3 linked regions of the Pelodiscus sinensis genome follow. The protein of the gene in region 2 interacts with the protein of the main gene of each other region in a biochemical or structural test. Links are inferred from orthologs where the notes say so. Each region holds a gene or a part of one and is shown on either strand. Other genes may lie near its edges.

Evidence for each region.
Region 1: the proteins of ASF1B (region 2) and CHAF1B form a complex in vitro, tested with the Homo sapiens proteins (2 studies listed by BioGRID and IntAct). The link is inferred for Pelodiscus sinensis from reciprocal best matches to the Homo sapiens genes ASF1B and CHAF1B.
Region 3: of the proteins of ASF1B (region 2) and TLK2, one has a biochemical effect on the other in vitro, tested with the Homo sapiens proteins (3 studies listed by BioGRID). The link is inferred for Pelodiscus sinensis from reciprocal best matches to the Homo sapiens genes ASF1B and TLK2.

The regions. Positions count from the first base shown.
Region 1 is NC_134711.1:185,728,841-185,739,142, reverse strand, and holds the start of CHAF1B (chromatin assembly factor 1 subunit B), read right to left. Parts: upstream 5,133-10,302; 5' UTR 4,991-5,132; intron 4,951-4,990; exon of another isoform or gene 4,858-4,950; intron 2,681-4,857; 5' UTR 2,680-2,680; coding exon 2,554-2,679; intron 2,198-2,553; coding exon 2,065-2,197; intron 1,323-2,064; coding exon 1,205-1,322; intron 1-1,204. UniProt on the Homo sapiens protein: Acts as a component of the histone chaperone complex chromatin assembly factor 1 (CAF-1), which assembles histone octamers onto DNA during replication and repair.
Region 2 is NC_134729.1:10,140,085-10,150,206, forward strand, and holds the start of ASF1B (histone chaperone ASF1B), read right to left. Parts: upstream 5,113-10,122; 5' UTR 5,027-5,112; coding exon 4,918-5,026; intron 1,072-4,917; coding exon 956-1,071; intron 1-955. UniProt on the Homo sapiens protein: Histone chaperone that facilitates histone deposition and histone exchange and removal during nucleosome assembly and disassembly. Cooperates with chromatin assembly factor 1 (CAF-1) to promote replication-dependent chromatin assembly.
Region 3 is NC_134739.1:5,110,521-5,120,859, reverse strand, and holds the start of TLK2 (serine/threonine-protein kinase tousled-like 2), read right to left. Parts: upstream 4,391-10,339; 5' UTR 3,924-4,390; intron 2,299-3,923; exon of another isoform or gene 2,296-2,298; 5' UTR 2,291-2,295; coding exon 2,210-2,290; intron 1-2,209. UniProt on the Homo sapiens protein: Serine/threonine-protein kinase involved in the process of chromatin assembly and probably also DNA replication, transcription, repair, and chromosome segregation. Phosphorylates the chromatin assembly factors ASF1A and ASF1B.

The sequences.
Region 1 (10,302 bases), on a different chromosome or scaffold from region 2:
AAATTAGTTCATATTACATTTGAACCAATGTTTTCTGATATCAGGTTCACTTTAGCAAAATATCCACAAAAAATAAGTTTAAAAACGGTAAGAATCATTAGCATTATTTTGTAGCTTTCTGCATCAAAGTGACTATTTGAATGACAAAATATGCCACATTCCCATTTTTTAAAGAGATATTAATTTTAATTAATTTACTTTGGAAGCTGTTTCAGTCTTGTATGGAAATTATACAAGCACTTTTAAAGGCATATTTTGTACTTACATACTTTGTACCTACTCAGATTTATCATGTAGAAATACTAGGTTTATTTTTTTAAAGGAGTGTGAATTACTAATGAATATAATAATCACACAGAAAAACCAAAGTGCTCATTTTATCCACAGATGCTGCTCAAACAGAGGATAGCATTCCACATATTGTCCCATGAAGGAACAAAAGGTTAATTAGGTTTCCATAGCCTTTCATTTCTTTGCTTCTCCACAGAGAGTGACAACAGGATGCCATTCAGTTCTCACTGTGATAGTGGTGATCTGATGTCTTGCCTACTAGGAACTGGACTGAAACAACCACTCGTTTCAATTAAATTAACTATTTTAACTGTGAGTACACATACATTTTAATGAGTATCATGTACAATGTGAAATAAAGGCTATTTTGTATTACATATAATATAATTGTCGCTTTTCATAGTTTTTTTTAATTATTGTAATTTGAAAGTAATATTGCCAGTCAGCTGGAATAAAACTTTTCAACAACTCTCTAAACACTAGTTTAAAAAATGTGGCAAGGACTGATTGCTCTCGTTTTACTTAGCAAACAGACGTGATTTGTTTTATCTTTTGGCCCTTTGTTTAATATTCATGATTAAATTATATTAATTATAAATTCAGTAATAAAAATGTCTGTTTACTTAACATTTCCTCGTGTACAAAAACAGAGCTTTTGAAGTAAATAAGTAGGTGCAGAGAACTTTGCTAGAGAAAACTGGAGAAACAGACTGGTACAGAACACTGCTAGTGACAGATACTAAATGAGAACAGTAATTAGAATGAATAACAGGAATACACTTTGAAGCAAGTGAGTTTTCGGGGGGGGGGGGAGGGCCCCCGGTAAGAGATTTGCATAAGTTGAGTGGAAAGCCATTCCAGACAAAGAGCATCATGGAATGAAGAAAACTCTCCAAAAACCCAATTAAATTACCTTAATGTTTTAAATACTGTCCAATTTTCTTTGTTCAGCTGAGCTTCATCTTCATCTTGAAATGCTATTGGCTCTGGTTCTTTGTTATCATTCAATTTCCACAATAAAATCACAGCGTCTGTGGAATAATATGACTTGTTGATAAGAAATGTTTGGGCTTTGTTTATAATGAATTATTATATTGGTCTTATTGTGCTATTATGTTACATGTAATCTGAAAATCAACCAGCAAAAATATTTAGACTAGTCTTGGAGATTTGTTTTAGGGGACTGACCTAGAAATGTTTTTATCCCCGTTACCTTTATTATGTAGAAACAGGAGACAAATGTATAAGTTAGTTTTGCTTTATGTTGCTCTCCTGGACTTTTTAACTGTTGATTAAGAAGGAAATTTCCAAAGGTCCAAGTGAAAGTCAGGTTCCCAACTTCCAAAAGACTTTCAGAGGGTATATAATTGCCCTTTGTGCCTTTGGAAATCTTTCCCCAAAATGTTACACATTCCTGTCAAACACAAGAGAGCTAACCAGTCCCTTTGTCCTTAGAATAAACACTGGTCTGTGACTCTGGAGATGTATGTAATTTCCAAACTCTGCCAGAGTCCCTTTATGTTTATGATATTGGGAGAGCTGCTCAATACGCCAATTGTAAAATAGGAACAATTCTTTCATATCTGTAAAACAGAGAAAATATTTTGTATCTCAAAGGAGGCTCAACCAATAAATTCACCAGGGTATGTGAAACACTCATATATCACCATGATTGGGAAGTTAATGGATCATACAAACCCCAAATCGGAAATGTTCTGTGCTCTTTTTACATGACTTTCATCTATCTTTTTTATATTGTTTTTTGTTACTCACCGTCTCCTCCTGATGCTAAAACCTCACCATTGGGAGAGAAACGCACAACATTCACTGCTTTCGTATGGCGAGCTAGATTTGATAAGAATTCCACAATTGCTTTCCCATCTGGTCCTTTTTCCACTTTCCATATCTAGTTATAAAAGAATTACATATAGTAAATTGCCTGCTATATACCTGAAAATTGATTAATTTTTAATCTTGTGCACCATTTTCTTCAGTTCCGTTATTTATATATTTTGCAAGGAGGCAGAAGGAATGCAGATATTTCAAAAATCTTACCCAAACTTGATGAAATTAAGAAGCATTATTATTCAGAAAATTAAACTCAAGTTGACAAAACTCATGGCCCACTTTCTCATAACCTTTTATCTGAGTCACTCACTTGTGGGGCAGTAGGAAACTGGAAGAATGTGAGATTTTTAAGTAAAATTAAATGTCTTGTTAGATATTCTGCTCACACTAAAATCAGCGAAATTTGGAACTCACACGAACAGCAGTGTCTACTCCTGCTGAGGCCAGTCGATTGATTTTCCCTTCAGTTCCATGTTGGAAGTCTAAGCTATACACCGGCTCTTTGTTGTGCCATGCTATTTCACAAGTGATGACCTTCATTCTTTTTAAAGGAAAACATGGCAGATATCAGATATTTTGCATTTATTTTTACAAGAATTATAGTCAAAGTTAATAACAAACAGAGAAATTTTAAGAAAAACATTACAGTAAATTACAAAAGATTACTAAAAGTCTCGGAGGGGTAGCAGTATTAGTCTGTAACTAAAAAAAAGGGAAAAAAACAACAACATTGGTCCTGTAGCACCTTAGAGACTAACAAAATATATAAATATCATGAGCTTTCGTGGGCACAACCCACTTGGACAGATGTGAAAGCAAGGGGCCCAGTGTCTCAGTCTGCCCTGTGGCATGTCCCACTCGATCCACAGGCAGGGAGCAGCCCCAGAGCTCAGAGGGCTAGCTGTTCCATCTCTCTCTGGCTATGTCTAGACTGCAAGTTTCTTTCAAAAAAGAGCATCTAGACTACAATCAGTCTGGATGCTCTCTTTCGAAAAAGCACAGTTTGCATTACACAGCGCCTTTTTTTGCAAGAGCACTTTTGAAAAAAGGCGTTATTCCTCGTGAAATGAGGAGTGCCACCATTGAAAGAAAAGCCGTGTTCTTTCAATGTAATTTTGAAAGAACGAGGCTGTAGTCTAGATGCAGGTGAAGTTTTTTTCGAAAAAAGGCTACTTTTTTTCGAAAAAACCCTGCAGTTTAGACACAGCCTCTCTGTGGTCAGGAGGAAGGGGGAAGCTCTGTGCACTGTGAACCCTGTCCTTCACCCAAACACCCCCTAATAACCTCTCCTGCACCCAAATTCTCTACCTCAAGCTCCATTCTGCACCCATCCTCCATCTCAGACCTCCCATCCCCTCCATAGAAAAGTGTGGCCCTTGACCACTTACCAACATTTTGGAGTGGCCCCACCACATCAAAAATTATTGCTCACCCCTAGTTTATGATAACTGACATTTTCTGCAAGAGCAATAACCTTTTCAGAGAATAAGCCATAGCTCTCAACTCCATGACTGGAAATCTTATTATGATGACAGAGTTGTGCTGGAGCAGTGTTTAGGTACATTTCTTTGGACATAAATGTTTTCCGATCCCCAGATCTCAAAGTGGTTGCATTCTTCATGTTGCTCTGATCCCTCCACTGCCTGCTTTGACTGCAGCAAAAATAATTGCATAGGCTGGTTTTTGAGTCAGCAAGTGCAGCAAGAATAATGCTAGAAACACAGCAAGCAGGGAGAGATGGGTAAAAGAGGAATTCACTGTTCAGTGCAGCAGACCTCATGGACCATGAAAGTTAAGGTAAAATGAAGAGAAAAGATTTAGCATGCTGGAGAGGGAAGAGAGATGAACCTAGGAAAAGTGGGACTTGAGATGGATCAGAACAGAAATTCTTCCTCCTAAGAAAAGAGAAGAGCTGCTTACTAGTCACACAAAAGATGCTAAAAAAATAGTCTGGTAGCACTTTATAGACTAACAAAACATGTAGATGGTATCATGAGCTTTCGTGGGCACAGCCCACTTCTTCAGATGAGCGGAGTACAGCCGCTCCCCGAGTTATGAACAAGTTACGCACCAACACTTGGTCCGTAACTCGAAGTGTTCACAACTTGGATCCCATAGTGTTACATGGCGACGGCGCTGTTCGTAAGCATGGATCGCCGTTCGGAACTCGGATCCGCATTTCCGACTGCTTTGGTCCTAAGTGCGGATGGTCGTAAAAGTGGAGGTGGGCGTAACTCAGAGAGCGACTGTCGTGGATGGCCAGCATTGTGGCCATCTGAAGAAGTGGGCTGTGCCCACGAAAGCTCACGATCCCATCTCCATGTTTTGTTAGTCTATAAAGTGCTACCAGCCTATCTGTTGCTTTTTCAGTTGTTGCTGTTCCAGCCTGGCTACCCCTCGGAAGCGTTTGAACAAGAGAGGCCTCAGCAACAAGGGAGCAATGTTCGCTGACCCAGCGGCTCTCTTCCGGCTCTGCACATCGCCACCGCGCTGCCGACAGGGCGCAGGAGCGTCACACGCACAAACCCGCGGTTAAAAGGGCGAATCCCCCCGGAGCGACACAGGCAGAGGGGGGCGGAGCGGATACACCCGCAAACCAACCCCCCCCCCTTTCAAAATGCTCCAGCGCCCCCGCCCCCCAGAAAACACCGGCCCGGCAGCAGCGCGCCCCTGGGGCAGGGGGGAGGAAGCCGCAGCGACCCTGTAGCTGCTTCTCACCAAAGCCCAGCGCCGCGTCCCCAGCGTCACCCCCCCATCACCCTCCAATACTGGGGGGCGCACCGCGGTTACAGCGGGGTCACCGCCCCCGGCGCTCCCCCCTCCCCGCCCCGAGCCTTCGGTTGCCGGTTACCTGAGGCAGGCGCGCGCGGGGCAAAGGAGGCGGGTGCCGCCGGCCGGGTTCCTCTTTCCCGCGCACCACGGCTCGCCCGCACGAACCACGCATGCGCGCGCTGACACTTCCCGGGGGGGGGGGGGACTTGCAAGGATGCAGCGCCACCTGCTGGGCAGCGCCCGCGGAGCCCACAGCCAGGGCTGGGTAGGGCTGTAGGGTTGCCATGGCAACTCTCTAATAGCACGCTCTGTTCCCTTTGCCCCGCCCCCCATTCCACCCCCCTCCCAGCCTAGTGGGGCTGCGATGCTGGTGGGTTGCAGGGGGCACTTATCTAAGGTTGCTGCCTGGAACTCCCATAGTGGTGATTCCCAGCCAATGGCAGCTGCAGAGCCAGTACTCAGGGAGACGGGGCACACAGCTTCCTTGCCTCCCAGCCCCACATATGCCAGGGGAAAGCTGAAACATACCAGTAGCTTCAGCCCACCTTAGCCCCATCTTGCTACTGACTAGTCTTTTAACAGCATAGTCAACAGTCCTGACCAGAGCCCAGCATCCACTTTGTGTTAGGGAAGGGGAAGGCAGGGAGAGCTCCAACTGGTGGTGACAAGAACAGAAGGGGGGTATAAATAGGCAGAGCAGCAGCCATTCCCTCTTCTGAGTCACTATTTGAATCCAAGGACGTGGGCAGGCACAAGCCCAGTTCACTTCTAAAAGCCCCTCTCCGAGCCTTGCAGGAAGGTCCACTGGACCCAGGATTCCATTGATTATGGGGGACAAACAATGAATAAAGGGATCAGGAGTGCAGGTCATAGGTTCAAAACAACGGAGCCAGATGGAGACACCAAGCAGAGAACCTTAGACAGCACCCACTGCTCCTTGAAGCTATCCAGGGAGCAACTGGACACTGCCCAGAAGAACTCTGCCCCGATGTGAGTGTAGGAAGAAGCAGAAATAGGCCCCACAGTCACAGAACACCCCTTTGTTCAGCATCCTTCTCCTGGTGTGGTACATGTCAGCTTTCACTAGGGCCAGGAGGAGGTCGACAAGGTGTCTCAACTTTGTGGGGCCACAGATGCCTGGCTACCCCAGGATTTTATAGTGTGTCTTGGCAAAGGGGCAGATTGTTTTATGTAAGAATGCGGAGAAGAAAATCTATTGCACTGGATGGGGTGTGTATCAGATAAAGCCACATATTGTGTGGTAATTAATTAGCTACATGCTGTGATAAGGGAGCTTAACAAAATTTTGGAAACTGAACTGGCATTCCAGAAATAAAGTTGAGATTTGGTGCTGTACCCCTCTACCTCTTTGTAAAATAGGGACAATACTATTTTATATTAAGCAATTTTTCAGCAATAGTATGCTATGACACTTTTAAATTATGACTGATTTTGTAAGAAGTTTTTAAGTGATGTGTAACTTGGGAGTAAGCAAGACAGATCAGACTCCTCAAAGGGTTACAGTAGTCTGGAGAGGTTGAGAGGCACAGCTTTATAGCTCAAATAGTAATGCTCTGAGATACCCAACCTGATAGAGGCAAAGTTACACCTTGAAAAATGACAATTGTTTTCTACAAAAGCAAGTTAAATAAACTTAACATTCTGTCTTTTTTGGCACTTGAACAGCAAGAAATCTTCTGTTTGGGTAAAGAGGGAAAGTCTTCTATGCATTTTGCTAAACTAAACATTTGTAAAAATATAGCAAAGTTTATTAGCACAGTGTTTCTCAACCAGTGGTATGAGTACCCTTAGGGGTACTTGAGAGACGTCTGGGGGTACTTCAACAATAACATCTAGAGAACTGAATTTTTGTTTTAAGTTTTACAGTGCTGTTATTTTTGTAATTTTTACAGCCAAAAATTTCATTGCTCACCCAGCTACAATTAAGTTGTTTAAAAAAGTCACTTTTTTCTACCATTGCGTCTGAAAACTGTCGGTACGGGGGGTACTTCTAATTTTTTTTTTTTTAAAGGGGGTACTTTATAAAAAGAAGGTTGAGAAACACTGTATTAGCACATCCAAACAATGATTTCACATTGCAAAATAGTGTAACAAGTGCTTCAGGGCTCTTAAACTAGAATTATATGCAGGGCTCGACAATCTATGTGATCTACTTGCCCGTGGCAAGATGATTACAACCTGGAAGAGCTGGGTCTGGGTGATCTGCACATGCACAGAATGCCGGACAGCGTGGCTGGCGAGCAGGGCTCACCGCAGCTTGGCAAGCCCTGGTTCTATGTATATTTTCCCACCCCATGACAGTTATATTTCAGTGCACAGCAGAGACCTATTCCACTTCAGCACTCGTGGTGATACTGGTATTTGTGGGCAGGGAGATGAAGCATACTGGTATCCTTCATGTAGACCACCCCTTTCACCACGGCTATTCAACATGTGGCCCACAGCCCATTCATTTGCGGCCCATGGTGGGGTTTGGGTTTATGCACAGCATACAGCCCGCAGGTGGGATCCTTTGAACATGGCCTACACTGGGAACGACTTCCACAAGGGCAAGGTATCTCCCAGGAGGTGTGAGCATTGAAAGATGCAGATGGATGGGCTGGCTGAAACAGATGGGTACAGGGCATCAGCATTTCTAGCTCCCTTCCTCCTCACTCCCCCCCACCCCCGAAGGTGGTGTGGGAGTGCCAGGGCATTGTGGGAAGGGTTAGCCGCTCAGCCTTGTGGGCAGAGCCTGAGAGGTGCAGACTGGCTCAAACTGGCCACGTTTGTGTCCGGCGCTACGGCTTAAAACAATCTTTGTATTCATGCCCATCAGTGTGAAAAGCTATTTGCATGTATATGCAACCACACTTAAGTTGCAGCCCTCAGCATGCACTGTATCATTGTGGCTTCAGGGCTTCCAAAGTTGAGTAGCCCTGCCTTATAGGGAGGCATAGCACATTGCCCTTAGGTTACACAAGCTTTTGGGGGACAGCAGTGGAATGCTGGACATTGGGATCTTACATTTTCATTCCTGGGTTGGATCAGGTCTGTTTGCGGTATAGTAGTTATAGACAGGATAACCAAATGTACCTATAATAGATTGGGGAGTTTCCTGTGATACTCTGGATAAACATTAATTTTATGCATCAGTGGTAGCCTAAGGAACATATGCAATTCAATGTAGGATGGGAGATCACTGTCCTCCAGGAATTAAGAGGTGTTGAAGGGTGGAGTGGGGTTGGGCTAGGCAAATTCATTTCTGTTGTAACACTGTCAGTGCTAGCTCTCTGGAAGAGTCTTGCCTTTACTTGTGCAAACTGGACTCTCCAGGACACCTTCCTCCCCCAAAATGCGAGAACGTAAGTAGTTTGAGTTAAATTAATATGGGACCATCGTTCTGATCCAGCTAACAGGACATTCTATCCAAAATTAATATGGGACCATCGTTCTGATCCAGCTAACAGGACATTCTATCCAACCAGAGGGCCTCATTTCTCAGGAAAGTGTTGAAAGGACTTAAGACCAGAGACCTTTTGGGAGATGGGGTGTGATCTCTAGTAAGTTTAGTGTACATAAAACAATAAAAACCCTATGGTTTTTTCCTGTAATTCTTTTACCTTAAGAATAAACATGTTTGCTTAGAAAGAGCTGTGTGGTAACTTAATTGTGGTACATACACTGTTTACAGTTCTAGATGAGAAAAGCAAAAAAACAGGATTGTTTAGGCAGTCTGACTTGCTGGATAATTCACAGTACAGGCAATGAACTGTGCAGCCTGGAAATAACCTGGTCAGGAGGAAGAAAGCCCTGATAAGCTGAGGAGCTAGCTGGGATCTTAGAACAGGTACCCTTTGCTAGATTCATAGAGGGGGAAAATCAGATGCAGTTGCCTTGAACTGTGAAAGCACCAACACCACCCTTGTTTAGGGAATCGGATATTGAACCTGGGACTACTGGAGGCTTGATTTCATATTCAAAGACTGGAACTTAAAATAAATACAATTTAAAAAATCAGGTCTCATCATGGAAGTAGAGTCAAGCCATCTATATGTGGTCCCACCGCTAAAGAGTGACAACTACACTTTTAGCATGGATTACAGAAAAATCAATTTGACATTCTTCTGAAAGACTACATGGTAAAGTAGATGACATTTCTATAATGGTGAATGTTAAAATAAAGCCAGAGAGCACTATTAAGTATGTTATTTAAAACAAAATTATTTTTTATTGACCAGTTAAAAGTTTTGATCTGACAAAACCAGAACGTGCTTTTTACAAAAAATACATCTATTTACTTTAACAAGTAAACTTACTCTCATTTACCCGCTGTTCCTCAAAATTTAAATGTACAGTATAAATTTTTACTTTTCAATATAGACATTATATTTTACCAGTCATGTATAATAAATTCAACTACAGAAGTAACTGGACAAAACACTTAGAAAATAAATAATGATAGACAAAATGAAAAATTGCACACCAGTTTATCAAAAATGACTTAGGTATATGAACATTTTCATATTTCAGTTACGTATTCAAAATTAAACATTAAATGTATCCATTAGAAACACAATAATATTTCATTATCTCTAGTAGCATAATACTAGATCAGGTACTCAAGATACTCTTAGGCTAAAAAGACTAGCAACGAAGGGAATGCAACTTAATTTAAACAAGACAGTAAGGTTGCTTAAGCCAAAAAAAATATGTTGGTATTTTGATGTTTCACATTAATATGTTTCTAATATTAAAGGGGTGTATTCATGATTGTTTTAAAGATTTTAATTAAAACAGTTTTTGTTTTGATTAGTTGAATGAGAGAACACCTCTGCTGGCTGGGGAAAAAATATGGTTGGAAGGAACTTACCATCCCCATATTTCTCCTCAACACTTTAATTTACTATTTGTGGTTTTCAATTTTGCATATTTTTATGAGCAAAAAAACCAGGCTAGTCCTTTTATTTCTAGTCTTTTTCTGATTCTCATGCACAATTCTATTGTATCTGCAAAACAGGAGTATGTTTAAATTTGAGTTAAGTTTTCAGTTTTAATAAATTCATCGGTCATTAACACCATCAGGAAGGTTATTTGCTTTTGAAAGCATCTTTAGCTTAAATACCCTTTTAATTGCGTAATTCCTCCAACACCGAGTACACCCTATTGTACTCACAGCATGCTGCATTATTGGTATTTTCATGGGAAATGAAAGTAGGAGACAGATTACAGTAGTGTTATTTCAAAAAGTCTAGAACTGGGGTTTGTGTCCGCTGCAGTGGCCCCCTATGCGCCCCCGTATAAGTGGTTAACCAGTTGAACAATGTTTAACCAGTTAACTAATTAAACGTGATTTTTCATCCCTAATCAATATTGCACTACTTCAATTTC
Region 2 (10,122 bases):
GGTTAGGTCTATCAGGGGCTATTAACAAGGATGGGTAGAAATGGTGCCCCTAGCCTGTTTGTCAGAAGCTGGAAATGGATGGCAGGAGAGGGATCATTTGATTATTCCCTGTTCTGTTCATTCCCTCTGGGACACCTGGCACTGGCCTCTGTAGGAATACAGGACACTGGGCTAGATGGACCCCGGTATGATACCCACACCTGGGGGAGGTCAGAGAACAGGGGTATTAAAACCAGTCACATCCGAGTTTAAGGTCAGAAGGGACGACCAGATCACCTAGTCTGACCCCCCTCCACACCCACTACCGATCCCAACAGCCAGGGTCAGACCAAGCCATGGGAAGCCCAACAGGAGAAAACAGGAGAGACTGAAGTGCCAGCGATGCCCAAGCCTCCTGCAGCAACAAGGAATTGATTTATGGAGCGCTAACCTGACGAGGCTAGCAGGGAGCCCTGCTCTGCACTGCAGAGAAAGGCAAATAACCACCAATGTCCCTGCCAATCTGACTGGAGGGGCTTTGCCTTGGCTCAGCAAGGCTGTGCTCAGACTCTTCCCAGCCCCAAACATGATCAGCACAATCCCGAGCATGGGCGCAAGACCCACCAACCAAGCATGGGAATGGGAGAAAATTCTCAGTCCTCATCTCAGTTGGGAGAAGAGCCCACAGAAGAGCCATGTTAAGAGGAAGGAAAAAATAACCCTGAACACACTAGGGGAAAAGTGTGCTTCCCAATCCCCACAGGTTCCCACTACTCTCTGAAGATACCATGCTCGGAAGACCTTCACCAACATAACGAGGTGGTGCCCAGACCCCCGCCTCCCAGGCCAGGTTTCTGAGCCCTGCCCAAAAGGGCTGCCACAGAATAAGGGTCTCCAGCTGCTTTGACTGCATTTCGCTCAGTCTTTTCCTTACGGGAGACAAGGCCCTCTAGCCCCTCCCACAGCTGTCTCTTACCTCAAAGATGAACATGTGCCTCCCAGCTGGGACAGGCCCCACCAGCACCGAGTCCAGCACCTGGTCATACTCCTCACTTTCTGCAGAGCCCACATAGATGATCTTCCACTCCAGGTCTGAAAGGGAAGGGGAGCACAGTGAGCCTGGGCAGCCACCCCTCGCAGAGCAGCCCTTGAGTAATGCTGGGGCTCTGGGCTCATGTTAGGGTAACTGAGCAAGGTTTACACCAATGCAACCATCTGACCCTGACGCTTACATTCCACATCAGTTCCCCATCCAGACCTAGTGATCAGTGTCTCACTTACAGGCCACCACCCCACTGTGCTGGGCACTGCCTCGACACTCTAGAGACACCACTATAAAGCAGACAAGGATTATTATGCCCCTTTTACAGAGGGTGAAACTAAGGCACAGCAAGATTAAATGACTCGTCCTAGACCCAACAGTCTGTGGCACAGCCCAGAACCAGATTCTGGTCCTGAGTCTTAGGCAAACACAAGACCATTTGACTTAGCTGTAAGTTCCTTCCCTTCTTCCTACCAACCAGTGTTCCCTCTAATCTTTCCTGTCCATGTGCTGGTGGGCACCACCAATAGAAAGACAAAACCCAGCTGTGGGTGCTCTGCTAGTCAGCTGGGTGGCACTGGACTCTCTCCTGCGTGGCATCAGGGAATACTGCTACCAAGCCATTTGTTTGAGGGATAGGGATCCCAGAAGGTTAGCTCCTGTGGCCAGCCAACAAGAGACAGGAGTCTGGCAAGTGGAGAGACCATAGGCCAGAGCAGAGTCCCTGACGGGTGCAGCCCCAGTGGAAAGGGTGCCAGGCTGTTAGAGCAGACTTTGCTCTTTAAAGCTCACCAGAGATTTCCTGATTATGACCCAAGGGCTCTTAAGCATTGTCTGCACCAGTTTAAGGCCAGAATGGTTTTGTTGAAATCCCCCATCTGTCTGCCTGGTTCCATCTGCTGTCCCCTGCCTAGTACTTTCCTCAGATTCTCTTTGAGGCGGCCTTCTTTTTGCTGTTTGTACAGTGCCTGACACAATGGGACCTTTGTCATGTTACCTCGTAATTCCATTCCAAGCAAGTCCTACTCTGGTTTTAAGTCAGGTTAATAGTCAGTGCTCCTTCCAATACAGGTACCAGGGCTGCCAAACTGTCCGTTCAAAGGGAGGAGTTTCAACTCTGAGCCTCTTAGGTTTGGGTGGGTGCTGAGCTTTGGCAAAAGACACACTCAGACATGTCTAAGTCTGAGCCAATGCCAGGCCTATGCCCCCAAGCACAGACAAAGCTCGAAGGATTAGGGGTGTGTGTGTGTGTGTGTGTGTGTGTGTGTGTGTGTGTGTGTGTGTGTGTGTGTGTGTGTGTGTGTGTGTGTGTGTGTGTATTGGGGGGAGGGGAGAGTGGCATTTCCACTTCCACACCAGAGGGAAGTGTTCCATGTAACATGCATGTACTTTCTAGGAGACTGGATTAGCTTACTAACCACTATTTAACATCCCTAATCGAGTAGTCGACAGAATCAACTACTCGATTAGTCGAGAATGGGGTTCACTGTGGCTCTGCTTTTTAAATGTAGTAAGAGCCGCTAGGGAACGAACTAGGTCCCCAACGTTGGCATCTGCCTCCCTGCGGAAAAAGCCAGCTGGAGGAGGGGAAACCAGCTCTCTCAGCACTGGCTCCTGCCCCCCCCCCCCCCCCCGCTGCCTCTGATACAGAGGCAGCTGGGGGGGGGAAGCAACTAGTAGAGTAGTGACTCGACTACCCAATAACCCTAGGCTTATCAGGTAATCAACTACTCCAGCATTTTTCAAACTGTGGGACCTGACCCCCCCGGGGGGTCACGAGCAACTCGGGGGGGATGTCACGGTATCACAAGTTTGAGATCCCCTGAACTACTCGACTAGTCACTTATATCCCTAGACTGGGTCAGGGTAGCTTTTACCAGGCAAAGTGATGTCACGCAGCAGAGGGGGTTTGGATTAAGGGGACATTCTCATAACAAATCAGAAACAGCTTTTCACACAGATGCTCTATAAATTTACAAGAAAGGGGGATGTGCCAGCCATAGATTACATTACATAACAGACTAGAGTAGGTTCCTCATGCAGGGAAGCCTTCCTCAAGGAGCAAACAGCTGCATATACTCTCAAACCCCGGGAATGGGGCTAGAGCTCCTAGAATAGGGAATAGTGGGGGACAATCCCACATAAGCCCTTAAGAGCAAGGAATTTCAGTCAGATGGAGGACCAACACTCGCCCCTCCCTGCACTGGTGAGATTCTGCAGACAGGTTTCCCAGCACAGCATGGTGCGTCCTATTTGGGAAAAAATCCTGTGGGGCACCCCTGTACCCCCCCAAAAAACCCTGCTGAGTAAGGCAGGCTATGTAGGTGGTGGTGCTGTGTGCGCACGCATCCCCCCCCTCCCCTCCTCTCCCACAACCTGGATGATGGCCTCAAAGAGGATGAACTTAAAAAACAACAAATGGTCTGCTACCCCCTGAAGCTTTAAAGAGGACAGGGAGTCCAACAGCTGTCAAAGCTCCTGTCCCCTTGGCTCAGCAGGGCTGTGCTCAGACTCTGCAGACAGCTAATTTTCAAACTGTAAAGCCAGTGAGACATGCCAATTTTTTAGCCTCAAAGACAGTGGAGAGATTTGGCTGCCACCACTCCACAGCTCTGATACCCCCTGAAGTGAAGAGGCTCACAGTTTAGGCCATAGAGGGCTTTGCAAGGTACGCTTGCATGACAATGTCGCTCTGGGATTTGACATCTCACATTCACATTATCCCAACACCCCCCAGAAAGATTCTCTTCGAACCCTGGGCTCCTTTCTTCGAGAAGAGAAACCAGCCTCCCAAGAGATGCCTCAAAAGAGTCTTTTGGATGGGAAATGTTACTGGGGGAGGGCACACAAAGAACTACAAACCAACAGCCACCTTTCAGAGCCACCATGTTAAGTAGTGTCCCGTTCACATGTTTATCAGTGGCAAATATTCAACCCAGGAACATTGGCCCAAATTAGTCTGGACTCCATTAATCAACAAAAGGCAGATATTTTGCCCCTTGAAGTATCCAGACCAGAAGGATACTCTGGCCACCAAACTAAGCTATGAATAGCCTGCTTTCAGAAATGCTGGGCACACCTGATTCTCCCCCATCAGCAGCACCTCTTCTAATCATTCCATAACTGGCAACAAGCAAGCAGAAGTTTGCAAGCAGAATTCCCCCGGCAGCCAGGTACGAGTCCTGTCCCTACTGGTAAGGGGCACGGTTATACGAGCAGGGTTAATCAGGCTAGCTCAGCTAGGTTATTTCAACACCAAAGAGCTCTCTGCAGCATGCTGAGAAGATCTCCAGATCAGATGTAGAACATGGGGGCATCCTTAAAAGGCACCTGGCTTTCTCCTCATGCCCAGTTCTCCCAAATGGCCACATCTAGCTCCAGACTCTTCGCCTGTGCAGGCATTTACAATGGGGACATTACGATGCGTTTAAATTCACACGGCGCTCTCAGCCTCTGAGGGCCTGACAACAAGGCGACCAGAGTGAACAATCAGGCCAAGAGATGGAGGGTGGGGAAGAGGAGCCTGCCCAAGACAGAGCATCTGGCCACCCTCCCTGGCAGAGGGGCCAACCCAGCAGCCTTTTTAAAACACCCGGCGTGTGTGTGGCAGGGTCCAGGCTCCCTGCACTTCGCAGCCCCGGGACGGTGAGGCAATCAGCTCCCTCCATGTTAGAGCCCGGAAGGGACGTGACCAGGGCCACAGCACGTCAGTGGCAGAGACCCCAGGCGTCCCGGCTCCTGGCCAGGCGTAGGGACCAGCGGGCACGGCCTGGACCCCGCTGCCAGGCGCCCTGGAGTCCGACCCCCGGGGGGGGAATAGCCCCGCCCATGAAGCCCCCCCCCGCCAGAGGGGAGACCCCCTCCCCAGCGCGCGGGGGGAGGGGGCCCGAACTCACCGTGCGGCAGCGCCTCCCCGCACTCGAACTGCACCTGGAAGCGGAGCGGGCGGCCGAACGGGCTCGGGTTCTCCAGCACCGACACGCCCAGCACGGACACGCGGGACATGCCGCCGGCGGGAGCGGGACCCGAACCCGCCGCGCGCCACAAAAGCCGCCGCCCCGCGCCGCCCGCGCCGGCCCTTGTCCCTGCCGCGCGCGCCGCCGGCCAATCAGCGCGCGCCGCCCGCCGGCCTGCGCCAATCCTCGCCTGCGCCTTGCTACGCCCCCGCCAATCCTCGCACTTCGCGCCGGGAACCAATCCCCCACCCGGCCCGCCCACTTCCTGCCAGTCGCCACGCCCTTCCCCACATACGCCAATCGGCTTTCCCCGCTCCTGCCCTGGCGGGAGCCGGATGCAGCCAATCCGCACCCGACCCACTTTCCTCCCCACCAATCAGCGTGGGCGACAGTTTTTGGGACAAAGACGGCCACTCACTAGCCGGGAGGAGGGGGGAGACGCTGGGTAATCAGAGGAGGAGCCTGGATTGGTAGGACTGTAGGGGGCGGGGCCTGGACTCTACAGGGCCATGCAGGAGCGGGCGTTACTTTCCTGCGCCGGTGGGTGGGATCCACGAGAGGGGCTCAACAGGGGGCGCTGTGGGGCAGGGAGCAGGGCGGGGGTTCAGCAGGGGGTGCTGTGGGGCAGGGAGCAGGGCGGGGGTTCAGCAGGGGGCGCTGTGGGGCAGGGAGCAGGGCGGGGGTTCAGCAGGGGGCGCTGTGGGGCAGGGAGCAGGACGGGAGCTCAGCAGGGGGCGCTGTGGGGCAGGGAGCAGGGCGGGGGTTCAGCAGGGGGCGCTGTGGGGCAGGGAGCAGGGCGGGGCTCAGCAGGGGGTGCTATAGGGCAGGGAGAAGGGCGGGGGTTCAGCAGGGGGCGCTGTGGAGAAGGGAGCAGGGCGGGGCTCAGCAGGGGGCGCTGTGGGGCAGGGAGAAGGGCGGGGGCTCAGCAGGGGGTGCTGTGGGGCAGGGAGCAGGGCAGGGGCTCAGCAGGGAGCACTGTAGGGCAGGGAGCAGGGCTGGGGCTCAACAGGGGGCGCTGTGGGCAGGGAGCAGGGCAGGGGCTCAGCAGGGGGCGCTGTGGGCAGGGCAGGGGCTCAACAGGGGGCGCTGTGGGGCAGGGAGCAGGGTGGGAGCTCAGCAGGGGGTGTTGTAGGGCAGGGAGCAGGGCGGGGCTCAGCAGGGGGTGCTGTGGGGCAGGGAGAAGGGCGGGGGCTCAGCAGGGGGCGCTGTGGGGCAGGGAGCAGGGCGGGGGCTCAGCAGGGGGTGCTGTAGGGCAGGGGGCAGAGTAGGGGCGCAGCAAGAGGTACTGTTCCTGACGGGTCGGTGCTGGCCCCAGTGTGGTGCTAGACAGAGTTGTGGTGCAGGGATTGGGGAGAGTAGAGAGCAGAGTGCCCCCTCCTGACTCACAGCATTTACCCCCCACTTCAGTCTGCCTCCCTCAATTGCCCCTCCTGCAGATTGGGCTGGATTCCCTGCTCGCCTGGTCTGCTGTGTTGCTGCTAAGCCCAGTCCCATATGTCGCTACCGCTGTGCAGGCTGCTACACGTCTGCTGTGCCTCTCCCCAGACATAGCTGCATTTCAGCACTGGGTGAGCTATCCTGCACAGAGTTGCTGTGTGACTGAAGAGGGAAGCATGGAGTGGGTGAGGGGATGGGAGAGGGGTGTGGATGCAGGAATGAAGTGGGGGAGAAGGAGAGATGGGGTGGGAGATGGAGAGAGGGGTATAGATGGGGGCAGATTGTCTGGTAGCAGTGTGCAGGCTCTCCAACCTAGACCAGGCCAAACTCCCGCGCCCTTCCCTGAGGAGGCCACTATCCAAACCAGATGGAACAAGGGGAGGGGCTCATCATACCACTGACAGGCAGGCGCCCGGCAGCCATGCGAGACAAGGGGGTGGGCTCAGCGTGTCTCCCCGCACCGAGCTGTCGGAGTGAGCAGCCCCGGAGCAGCCGCGATCGATTGGATCCATCACCAGGCTCCCTCCCCAGCTCCCCTTTGGCCCCGGCCGGCTGGGGGAGCCGGAGTTGCAGCCAGGGATCCTCCGTGCACCTGACAGCTTGTCAGCCCTGCCAGTTCGTCTCGTTCTGCTGAAAGCAGGAGCTCCCAGCCCTGGGCCTGGCGCGCTCCCCACCCCCATGCCCCAGATGCCTGGCATGGCAGGTTGGATGCAGAAGGGAGAGCTCAGATACACTGTGATGGCACTTTTTGTTTTTGGAGGAGCAGAGCTGGGTGGGAGGAGCCCTGAATGGGCCAACAGGGCTGTGATCAAGAGTGAGGGGCACCGGCAGAGCTGGGGGGAGCCCAGGGCTCCCACCATTCACTCTCACTGCACTCACCCCGCCCCTTCCCGACATCCCCCCACCAGTGACATGGCCGCCGGTGCCATTCCCCCCATGGCTGGCAGGTGGCGCCTTCGCCTCACCATCCAGCTGAGAGCCCAGTGGGGCAGGCGCCAGCAGGGTCCAGGTGTGGGGCAGTGAGTGGAGGTAGGGGAGGCAAAGTGGAAGCGGAGAGCCATTGCCAGGGGCGAGGGGGGTGGGACATTCATCCCCAGAGCTGGGAGAGGGGAATCACTGACATTTCACACCCCCGTCTCCCCTCCTCCATCCACCTCCACATGTGGCACACTGTACCCCTGTGTCCCCCCACAGCCCTACCCCTGCCCACCCGCTCTAGCACCCCCCCACTGCCTCATCCTCCCTCCTCCATCCACCTCCACATGTGGCACACTGTACCCCTGTGTCCCCCCACAGCTCTACCCCTGCCCACCCGCTCTAGCACCCCCCCACTGCCTCATCCTCCCTCCTCCATCCACCTCCACATGTGGCACACTGTACCCCTGTGTCCCCCCACAGCTCTACCCCTGCCCACCCGCTCTAGCACCCCCCCACTGCCTCATCCTCCCTCCTCCATCCACCTCCACATGTGGCACACTGTACCCCTGTGTCCCCCCACAGCCCTACCCCTGCCCACCCGCTCTAGCACCCCTCACTGTCTCATCCTCCCTCCTCCATCCACCTCCACATGTGGCACACTCTGCATCCCTGTGTCCCCCCACACCTGCCCTCCCACTCCATCACCCCCACTCCCCATCCTCCCTCCATCCACCTCTGCGCCCAAATCCCCCACTCAACCCACACTCATCACCCCCAGACCCATCCCTCCCTCTTTTGCCTCCCCACTCAGCCATCCCTCCCTCCTTCCTCCATCCACCTCCACACATGACAAGCCCCCCCCCCCCCCGCCCACTCTTCCCCCCTCGCTTTCAGCATTCCCCCAAGTACCGGTCTCCCACACTTGACGCTGCCCATCCCTCTGCTCTCTGGCTCGGTCTGTGGGTTTCTCTAGTTCCTGCCAGGTTATCAGGGGGTTCTGAGGCGGGTCCCTGGCCTGGGATCTGATGGGGGCAGCGATTGCTGACGTGTCAGGGCATGGCCGGGCTGATTGGGACCCTGGGACAGAAGGTCCATCTATGACTAGGCTGATACATAGGGCACTGCTAGCAGGGACATGGGGCAGCACAGACGGGGAGCCCATTGACCCCCAAGGGTCAGGCTGTGACCTGCAGCCTCTAGGGAGAAGCCCCTTTGAATTCGTCACAGTCCAGGCCCAACGTGAACTCTGCCACCAGCAGGGATGTGAACAGGCAACTGGTGTTGGGGAGTAGCCCCCCACCAACGGCCTGCTGCAGCCCGCTGCTCCCCTCCCACCAGCTCTGCCAGTGCTGGTCGGTCCCGACCCACAGCCGCCTGCTTCCCTCCCCCCAGCTCTTCCAGTGCCCCTCAGTCCTGACCCACAGCCCCCTGCTTCCCTCCCCCCAGCTCTTCCAGTGCCCCTCAGTCCTGACCCACAACCCCCTGCTCCCCTCCCCCCAGCTCTTCCAGTGCCCCTCAGTCCTGACCCACAGCCCCCTGCTCCCCTCCCCCCAGCTCTTCCAGTGCCCCTCAGTCCTGACCCACAGCCCCCTGCTCCCCTCCCCCCAGCTCTTCCAGTGCCCCTCAGTCCTGACCCACAACCCCCTGCTCCCCTCCCCCCAGCTCTTCCAGTGCCCCTCAGTCCTGACCCACAGCCCCCTGCTTCCCTCCCCCCAGCTCTTCCAGTGCCCCTCAGTCCTGACCCACAACCCCCTTTGTTCCTCCCAGCAGTGCCCCAGGCCATGACAGAGAGCGGGCAGGTTTGGGGGGCACAAGGGATGCTCAGCAGGAGGTGGCTTCATGATAATTACCATGTAACTGTGTCTAATGAAGACAAGGCCGTTAATTGCAGGTAGTGGAGTCTGGGAGGCTGCGGCTGCTTGTTCCCTCCTCCCCCCGGAGACAACACATGCCAGCCCCTTCAGGGCCAACAGCCCTTGGAGCCAGAGCCAGACCCCCACCCCCCTACACACACACTGATCCCAAAAGCCCAGTGGGACCCGGAGCCATTTCGCTGGGCTCTGGCTTCATGGCCTCACTCCCAGCCAATATCCAGGGCACATTTACAAGGGTACTTTCCAGAGCCCCTAACACAGCCCTGCCCTGGGCTCCCCACCCCCGGCTCTGCCAGTGCTACTCAGAGAATTAGCCTCCCTCCCCTGAGCTCCAGGCCCCAGGGGCTGGTCCCCACAGGTCCCCCCTGCTTCCCCGCCAGCCTCCTATGTCCAGCCCCAGCTGCTCCAGCCCAGTGTGCGGGAAGTAGCCGCAGGACTGCCCGGCAGGGAAGGAGCCAGCATGTCTGGCATTGATCAGCTTGGAGTTTGTCCACATGGGAAGCTATTAAATCCTAGGTCATTTCCCTGGCTGTTTGGAGCACAGTGGAATGGGTGAGAGTGGGGGGCGCTGGGTGGCGTGTCAAGGGGCTGGCCCAGTGTCCCAGAGCCTGGAGCCCTGGAGTACAGAGTCTGGAACATGCCTCCCCGCAGGAAGTGGGAAAGAAAGAGGCGAAGGAGACAAATGAAAACAGAAGGAAACAATCCCCCTCTCCTGGAGAGGTGGGCCCCGGCTCTGTCTCTGAGCCCTGTCCACAGTGAGCGCGGCTCCCCTCCACGCAGAGACACTGCGGGCTGCCAGTGCTGGTCCCTTGCTCTAGGACACTTACACTTCTTGGACCAGTGATCCAGACGCTGCAGCATTTAGGGAACCTGCTCTAGAGCCCAGTGACCTTTTTGACTCTTGTTCTAGCACCAG
Region 3 (10,339 bases), on a different chromosome or scaffold from region 2:
AATTTTCATTAACTTTAATAGTGGAAGAGCATTTTTCTCCCAATTGTGTAACATTAAGTTTTGCATGCTTAGATCTGCTTAAAGTTATTTCTTTATAAGAAGTGGCTTCCTAAAGTTAACATTCACCTCAGTGTTAATATTTAGGCACTGTATAATATAGACAGACGAGGGTCCTGCCCTCAAGAAGCCAACAATCCAGGGGCATGTCTGCATTAGAACTGTGTACTGCTTTAACTATACTTCTATAGTTAAAGAGGTCCAACACACTACCACCACTACTCAAAAGAACGAGCACAATTATATCAGTATAGCTCACCCCATACTAAAACAGGAATAACTATACTAATGTAAGTCATCTTCATCCCCAAAAAACTGCACCCCATTAGAGTTTTTACCTATATTACCATATAAGTTTAAAAAATAGCATACCTAACCAAAAGTTTTAACACTAAAACTTTTCAGTTTTGGACCAGGTCTCAGCTTCCTTTAAGTTGCAAACTGTTTACTTACTGATCTACTTCCAGGGCTTCATAATACAACTGAAGCACAAAGTAGGTCAGAAACAAAGTATGAACTTGGATATAACCTTTCCAAAATTTGATGTATTTATTTTGTACTTTTCATCACAGAAAGGTAAATTAGTTTCCTCTGCCCAATATGATTCCAACAGGTGGCTGCATTTTTTATAGCAACAAGTTATCTAATTATATTTCCTTTCTAGCTTGATATGGCTTGAAACTCAGTGACTTTCAAGTATGCAAACTGGAATGTTATCACTGTTCCACCATTATTTGAGAACTAGAATGGTGAGAAAAATGAAGACACACTATTATAGGCACTATAACAGTACACACAGAAACAGATCAAATCCAATCCTGGAATTTTAAACAAAAGGACGGAAATGACATAGCTTATTACTGAATGCCTTACTCAAGAAATGCAACTGTTATCCAGGTACAAAGTCATATATTAAGAGAAGGGTAGGATTTGGGGGCTGGACTCGATGACCTCCTGAGTAGGGATGTTAGTGAATAGTTGACTAGAGTATCAACTACTCACTTCATCTCCTGCCTTGCTGCCTCTAGGAGAGGCTTAAAAACTGGTTCCCCGCGGCATGGCTCCCTCCATGGTGCTGCCTGCCCCCTCTATCACATGCAGCGGAGAGGGGGGGGGGAGGGGAAGCTGCTCTATCCACAGGGGCCCCATTAGGGAGCTGGACCACCAAGCAGCCCCTGTTCGCGGTGGCCCGAGTTGGCTGTGCGCAGAGGCTGCTCTGGCAGCCAGCCCTGTTCACCGTGAACAGGGGCTGGTGCCAAAGCAGCCTCTAGCCGCCACAAACCGGGGCTGCTGGACTCAGCGCAAGCCAGGACTGCTCGGTCCTGGCTCGCACTGGTCCAGGACACTGTACCTCTGTATTTTAAATGTAGTAAGACCAACTGGGCTCTTACTACATTTAAAATGCTCGAGTCAGCTCCCGGAGGTACCCTCGCTGCTGCTCTGCAGAGTGGTCCTTATCAACTAATCGTGTAGTCGAAACAAATTGTATCGACCACATGATTAGTCAGATAACCACAATTTAACATCCCTACTCCTGAGGTCTCTTCCAGCTCTATGATTCTATGATTTTGCTAGCAGGTTGCAAACCTAATTATACACAAGCTTACCCTTGAATAAGTAAGTTTTGATTGATATGACCAGGGCTTGCCAGCCACACGGAAGGGCATACGCTAACCGCGCTGCGCGGCCCCGCTGGGCTAAAATCTACTCACCACAGGCGAGTAGATAGTTATATCCAGGGCTCAACAAATTAGGCTAAGCTTGTACAATTTCAGTTGTTCTCAAAGAAGAACAAATAAGCTACTCATCTGTTTCCTAGACAAACCCTTTGAGATAGGAAAAAGATGGCCTATCCTCCCTCTTCCAAAACATGTGTGTGGTGCATGGCTTTTTTATACTAGGAAAAAAAAAAAAAAAAAAAAAGAGCAAGCCTTCAAACTCTCACACACACCATGATGTCTATGTACACAGAGGCAAACTCGTTATTTTCAGTATTGTATATTCTTCTTTACACACACTTTAAAATAAGTTAGTGGACAAAGCAAAATTACCAATGAACAATTTCCCCTTATTGAAACAGCACTACTTCTCTGTTAAAAAAAAAATGGTGTGCAAGGTATTTGTGCCTGCTCTCACAGGCACTTTTACTTACTTTGGCAACACCTACTCCAGTGAACCTGGCTTCCAGCAGTTCCTGGCGTCGGGGGTCCAGGCTATGCAACTCTTCCATCATTTCTGCTGCTATGGGAGAAAAATATGCTATATTAGTCAATGCAAGGAAAAGGGAAAGAATGTATTTTCTCTGGCATTGATGATGCTCAAAAATAGCTGTAGTAACAAGTGACTGTATACAAATAATTTCTGTCATGCAATATAGATTCAAAATGATCATGTAGTAAAATGTGACTTGCCACCAAAATGTTACTATTTTAACCAGGGCCTATTCTAGAGAGCTCCATCATCTGACAGAATTACCACTTATTGGAAATTTCTTAACTGGAACCTCAGTCCTATTGCTAACCCTCTGATTCCACCGTCTTCCCATTGAGTATTTTGTTAAATTTCTTGCAGACAAAACAGAAGGGGAGGGCGCTATAGCTGAAGTCTTTAGCCCTACACTAGTCAGAAACTCTCAAACATCCTTCATACCCCCACTATTCTCTGTTTTTGCCATTCACTGAAGCACTGGATAACTCCAAATGCCCTACAGCTACTAGGGCTTTTGTGACAACTTCAGAGACAAAGCCTAGGCTCTTCAGGAAAAGGATGAGATGGAGAATGATGCTTTTTTAAACTTCTCCTTTTACTAAACAATGTACCAAATACTCAAACACACAAGTTTCTCCCATATAGTTGGATGCTTCTGGGTACTTCCAAGTGATCCATTAAAACTGGCACCATTGTATGAAACGCTTTTTTTTTTTTTAAAGGCATCCTTGAGTCATCTGGTTTAATTCTTGAAACGTACAATTTCAGTGTTAATTGAAAAAAAGTGAGGAATTGCAGAGTTTATTAAAACTGTGATTCACATCTTCTTAACTGCATTCGGAGCAAGTTCATAAGTTCCAGAAATATCTGTTCCAGTTTCATTTCTCCGAAAGAGATCATGGCAGGAAAAAAAAAAATGAGAGAATACAGATTTGCTGTATAAAGATCATATGCTACATGGAAAGTTCCTGAAGGGCAGCAAGTGCCCTCTAGAAAAGCCACCATATAATTGTTCCTTTTATTGACTGTCCATTTTGTCCCCCCAATCTCATTTCCTCTCATCTCCAAGGTGCTGAGCGAGTCCATTTGGGGGCATTCACACCCTGAAGAGGCCATAAAAGCCCTAACACACCGAGCCACCGGATTAATACAACCCTCTGGTCTCCATTTAACAAAGCTGTCAGTGCTCTCCCTTGGCAAGGAGCGCAGCGATGGAGGGGCGGCAGGGGCGCCCCACCAGCAGGCAGAGCCTCCCCCACCAGCGTGGCGCGGCCTGGGGACAGGGGTCCCAGCCCTGCAGGGGGGCTGAGGCGGACACACGCGGGGGTGTCCCTGCCCCCCGGGGGTGGGGGGCGCCCTGGGGCAGACCTGCTGACAGGCCGCACCCCGGGGGCGGGGGAATTGCCCCACACCGGGCACGATGTTTCCACACGGAGGGATGTAGCCCCCCCCTCCCCCCAGTCCCAGCTGCGGCCCCGGCCTCCCCCTCACCCGAGGCAGCCATCGCCTCCACTGCCAGGCCGGGGATCCGCAGGCCGAGCCCGGCCCGCCCCGTGGCCTGGCGCGTCCCCCCCCCGGCAGCGGGGCCAGGACCCCCAGGGCGGGGCCGCGCCCCCCCCAGCCCCCTAGCAACCGCCCCCCCCCCCCGCGGCTCTCACCTGGCGCTGCTCCCCCGCCGCTCCTCTCCCCTCCGGCCCGGCCCGGCCGCTCCCCGGGCCCCGCTCGGATCCCGCCGCCGCCGGGGGCAGCAGCAGGGCGGGGGGAACCTGCTGCGGCCGCCCGGGCGGGAGGGGGAGGCCAGGGGCGGCTCCGCGGCCTCTCCTGAGCCAGGCGCCCCGCCGGCGCGGGCAGCGAGCTCGGCGGCTCCGAGGCGGGGACGCGGGGCGAGCCCCTCGCCGGCGCCGGGGGAGGCCGCGGATCCCCGGCCTCGCGTAGGCGCCCCGCCCGGGCAAGGGGCGCGAGGCGCGGGGAGGGGGCGGCGGCGGCCTCGGAGGACAAAGGCCCCGGGGAAAAAGGGGGGGGGCGGCTCCGACGAGCCGCGGGGGGGGGCACGAGAATCCGGGGCACCCCCCTCCCTGCACGGTCAGCCCGAGTAGTCGGCGATGGGGGGGTGGGGCGGGTGTCGGGGCGGCCGGGTCCGCCCCCTGGTCCGACTCGGCCCGGCCCGGTAGGGATCGATTGGTGCAAAGACACACTAGTGAAAGCGCGTGTTCTCTCGCGAGATTTGCACGGCTGGGGGGGGAGGGGAGGTCAGTGCTGGGAGGGGGGAAGGGAGGTCAACGTAGGGAGGGGCTAGTGTCTGGGGTGGGGGAGGTGAATGCGGGGAGGGGAGGGGCTAATGGGCATGGGGAGGGGGGAGGTCAGCGCGGGGAGGGGCTAGTGCGTGGGGTTGGGGTTTGTGCCAGGGGAGAGGACTGTGCATGGGGGGCCAGGGCACCTGGTAGGAGAAGTGGGGTCAAGTGTAGAGGGGAGGGGCTCCGTCCTGGAGGTGAGAGGTTAGTGCCTGGGGAGGGGGCGTGCACGGGGAAAGTAGAACGTGCAGAGGGCCAGGGTTCAGCACAGTTGGATTAGTGCATCGGGGAGGGGATTGGTGGAGATTTATACCCACCCAGGTTGTTTCACCCTCCAATGAACTGCAAGGCTGCTGCTAGGGGGCAAAGTGGGTGGCTGACGTTTTGCTCAGGGGTAACCTGGGCGGTCTTGCTCCCCCAGCCAGGAGGGTGCTTTCAAGGAGTAACAGACCAGGCGCAGAGGAGCGGAGTTGATGCATAAGAATGATCAGTGCGAATCCACTTTCCCTGCTTTCTGCTTAACTCCCTGTGGCATGAAGGGAAAATTCCTCCCCATCTCCACCCAGAGGGAATTCCTCCCTCTTCCTGAGCAACAGGGGACCTTGTTTGCAAAGACAGTCTCCTGTTCCCCAGAGATTGACTCCAGGGCCTGAAGGGAAGAGTTTATAGGCAGAACATCCCCAACCTCCCAATCAATTGTGCCTCTGAGGAATTGCGAAAAAGACATGAGAAAACAAGAATGCCTCTTCCCTGATTTGCCATTTCTTCAATCTTTTTAACAAGCTCCTGATTAAACATGGATATTGCACATAAACAGCAGGATGGGCAGTCAAAGCAAACTAAGTGACTTTAAAATTAACCACAGACTTTCCTGGCACTTTTACAGCTAGGGGTTTGCTCTTGTAGTTGCCTCTTGCTAAACTCCAGTATGAAAAGGACTTAATCTCCCCCACAGTAGCCAGACTACCTTGTAGTTTGTTCTTATTCCCTTTTCTTCCAAACCCTGGGGCATCACCAGAGAGAATATTAAGTGACGCTAAACAGCACTGCAACTCACTTTGCTTTAAGGCTGAATCAGCTTTCTGAAAAGCAAACAAATTGGGGGTGGGGAAGGTTATTCAGAAAGGAAGTGGCCATGCCTGTCCAAGTGGAGGCAGGCGTGGATTAGGGACAGGAAAGGAAGTTGCTGGGATTTTGGATGAAATATTTGCCTTCCAAAACTACAGTGCAATGGTAAAGGTGTTCTAGACAATATGGCTGCATGTCAAAAGAGAGTCAGCCACTGAAGTCAGATTTACTTGATTGCAATAAAGAGAACGTACAGTCGAACAGGAATCTGCCAGTTTGGCAAATCTGAGGATACAGAGTAGGACTAAGGGAATGATAGATTCCATTGGAATGTACAAGAAAAGGCAGTAACCTGCAGTGCTGAAAAGAACTAATATTTTATTTTAAAATGGTTAGTTTAACAGAGGTTAAAAACGGTAAGGTGGGGAGTAGAGGAGGCTGCTGGGCACTTGCTTTGCAAATCACTTTGAAAATGTCTGCCTTTTCTCGTAAACTGCATTTCCTGTGCTTTAACCTATTTCACAGCCGGAGATCCAATCTGAGGAAGTAGTAGCAAAATTTCAGCTCCCACCCCGAGATGCACCGTGGGGACATGAACACTGACAGGGACCTGTGCAAACTGTTTTGAAAGTTGACTTCTGTTGTGCATGTTTCTTAAGCCATCTAAATTATTACAACTTATCACCACAGTTTAGAGGATGATTAGTGACATTTGGAATTTTCATTCATAACATAAGTAAACTTCATTGGTATAGTTACAAATCAACAAGAGAGAACAGAAATGGAAAGGAGATCTGGGAACTCTTATATCCAAGAAGCAGGTCAACTCCAGCAGGGTCTTAACTGCAGTGGTTTATGTCTGTGGATCTGGATGTGGCTTTAGAGCCATTAGTTCTGATGGTCGATCATCTCCTTGAGGCAGGAAACAGCAGTCAGACACTCAGGCTACTGAAGCGATTTAGTTATACCAGCAGCCTTGAGTCACGTAGCAGAATGGGTGTGTCACTTCAGTATGGTTTTGCTCATTCCTTTGAAGAAATTCAATATTGCTCTTGATCCACATGCTGCTTTTCCTCAGTTGTGGAGGGTTCAGTCGCTTGTTCAACATGTGAAATACCTGGGGGAAGAGTGAGAGATGCCACAAGCTGCATTTTTGTCCTATACTAAGGGTCCTTAGCTCTTTGGGTATGAGCCACAAAGATACTTAGACTCCCAGGGGTGAAAGTAACTTAAATTTCTTACAGATACTGTCCTAAGGCAACCTGCCCCTCTTGGGAGGGCTCAGAGCAAAGAGTGGGGGAGGGGGTTGCGATGCAACTACCTGTGAGAAATGTAAGAATGGGGTGGAGTGCGGGGGGAGAGGGTTGGGGCTTGAGGGTGTAGGAGTCAGGATTTAGGTATGAGAGGAACTCAGGGCACGGATGTAGTTGGGGGGAGGTGCAGGAGTCAGGGCCGGGGGTTGGGAGTCTGGGGGAGAGGCTCAAGACAGGGAGCTGGGGTGCATGTGTAGGAGAAAGGGGGGGCTGGGATGGCTGCTGCCTGGTTACCTTTACCTGGCTGGGGGACAGGTCCCTGCCTTGCTGCTCCTGTTTGCTGCATGGCCACAAGGGAGCTGTGGGGGCTCCAGGGATACCAGCAGCAGTGTGAGCTTGCCACTTCCCTTCCCCTGGCTTCTTCCCAGGGGCTGCTGGCAGCCGTGCATGCCACGGACTGCACAAGCGCTGCCTGGCATCCAGCGAGGGGGGCAGCAGGACAGGTGTGGATGCACCAGTAGCTTGGCTGGAAGCGTGTCTCCCCCTTACAGCGCATCCCAGCCAGTCCCTTGCACACCTGCCTGCCTCACCTGGCTGGGCACGCCAGGTCTCCGGCACCAGCCTGCAGGAGCTGGCCTGGGAAAGCATCCCCCAGTCAGCTCTTGCCCGAGCGGCGCACCGCCTTACTTTCACCTCTCTCCTGAGTCCCTTAGGCTCCACTCAACTCCTACGTGGCTGTCGCCTTAGCCCTGGAAGGTGCCTGTTCTCCCTCAGCACCGTTTTTGCAGGAAAAGATGCCCAGGCGCTCATGTGTCTGGCTCTGGGCATGTGCACTCCTGCATCCTGCTAGTTGCCCAGTTATCTCCTCTGGCTCCCCCCCATAACTCACAAAGCAGGGAAGATGGACATTTTGCCATTCACGTCGTAGGCAGGGTCCCACTCTGGTAGGTGTACCCAGAAGTGACCTACTGGATCCGGGCCCCCAGACGCGCCCACACAAAATGAGAGAGAGGAGCTCATTCTAACCTTTAGCCTAGTGCACTCACCTTGCGACCCCTGGTCCAAACCCCCCCTCCTGCGAGAGAGAAGGAATTTGAACAGGCTGCGGCCCCTCTCCACTGAGGGCTCTAATTGCTTGGCGGTTAAGTTGTTCCAAGTTTTTCTCAGCCCCAATTAATATTTAATTATTCTGGTTTTCATGAGAGGGGAACATCTGCAATAGGAGGGATTGAGGAAGCCTCACATCAGAATACTCCATGATCAAGTGGTCAGAGCACTCACCTGAGAGGCAGCAAAACCCTCTTCAGATTCCTTCTCTGCCTCGGAAGGAAGGGGTTTCCTACACTCTGGCTGAGGGCCTAGCCACAGACTTCCCCTGCCTGAGGGCTCATTAGCAGAGATAAATGCCATCCGGCTGCCCAGACTTAGCGCCTATTTCTGAGTCGGGACAAGGCTTAGCACGTCCCCTCTTGCTCTGCATCTATTGGCTGGCTTAGGCAAAGGATGTTAAATACTGAGTAATTTACTAGTTGATTGACACTTCCGCATTCCTCCTTTGAAATGTACAAGAGCCCCAGCAGGTTATGCACTGAGATGAAATGCACATCTGAAATGCACTGAGCCTGGGCTGAGCTGTGTGGTGCTACCAGGGCATTTCAAAGTGGCAGCGCACACGAAGCCCAGGTACAGGTTCTGTGCGGTGCTGCCGCTTTGAGGTACCCCCTATTCCCCCCTGCTTTGCTGCCTCTATTTCATAGAAGCAGCAAGCTGGGGGGGGGGGGCAGGGGGAGATATCGACTAGTCAACTACTCCTTAACATCCTTAGCTTAGGCAGCTCCCTGCCTAACACACATGCTTGTGGCTCACCCTCAATATGGAAACCTGGGCAGTTAGCTCAGGCTTTGGGTATCGCAGGGTCGTCCCTAATTGACTAAGGATTGCACACATCCTCTTCATGTGGCCCTACGTTCCCTTGGCTCCCGTCCCTACACCTGCTTGTTCATCTCATCAGCTATATCTTGTCCGCTAGATGGGGGCAAGATGAAACCTTAGGTCAAGGGATTGTCATTTTCTGTGCATTTGTGCAGCACCTCACACAACTGGGATACAACCATCTTTTCCCCGCCTTTTGTATCCTTCTCTGATGCAGCTGACAACTCCAGACTGGTCTACAGCAGCACACTCGACTTGGGGGCTCTCTCGCAGATCTCTTGAAAGCATCAGCGAGTATAGTATGAGGCCTGACCCATTTTAGGTAGGGTGGATGGATAATTGCATACGACACCTAGTGCTTGTTTTGTGATGGTATGCACCGGCCCCACTCGGGACATGGCAATTAAAGGGGCTGCCGCATTTCAGCCCCGACCTCCCATGCGCTCCCCCCCCCCCCCCCCCGACAAATTTTCCCCGGAGTGTTTTGTTTTGGGTTTTTTTGGGTTTTTTGGCTCAACAAAACCATCTGGCAGCCCTAGTACTGGCACTTCCTTTTTTTTTTTTTTAAACAAACAAAGCACTGACGATATCCATGCCTCCGGCTCTACACTGCCTCCGAAACGCACATAAGTGCCATTCAGCGTGCTGCTCACTGTCTGTGAAACTCTCAATGCTCTAACGGGAAGGAACTTTAACCAGAATTCCCACCAGGGAAGCTGAATTAGGTCACTCTTATGGGAATGTTTCTAATAAAATTATCTAACCTGGACATAGCTTGCACATCACTTAGACACCCTCTCCCTGCGCTTCATCCCAACACTGGCCCTCAGTAGAATGCTTCACCAGTACCACACTACGCCATTCATTCCAGTAGTCACTTGCTCGTACATTATAACTCCACACTCCAACCTTGCTCTGTTTAGGTGCTTGAAGTTGCGAGCTAAGGTAGAAACTCTCTCTCCCTCTTTGTACATTGCTCTGCCCACTGAGGCACTGATCAAGCTTAGGCCTTTTGGGTGCTACTGGAAAATAAGGCTGCATCTAGACTGGCATGATTTTGCGCAAATACTTTTAACAGAAAAGTTTTTCCGTTAAAAGTATTTGCGCAAGAGAACGTCTATACTGGCATGTGCCTTTGCGCAAAAGCATCCGTGCCAGTGTAGACGCTCTCTTGCACAAGAAAGCTCCGATGGCCATTTTAGCCATCTGGCTTTCTTGCGCAAGAAATTATGTTGCTATCTGCACTGGCCCTCTTGCACAAGAATACTTGCGCAAGAGGGCTTATCCCTGAGCGGGAGCGTCAGAGTTTATGCGCAAGAACCACTGATTTTGTACATTACAAAGTCAGTGTTCTTGCGCAAATACTCACGGCCAGTGTAGACAAGCGGCAAGATTTTGCGCAAAATCATGCCAGTCTAGACGCAGCCTAAAGGTTTAATAAGACCGTTGGTCCCTAAAGTAAGGCCTTGCGGTAGCAGGTGGCTGGACATACTCAGTGACTGCTACGGCATTTGCTACTGCTGGAAAACT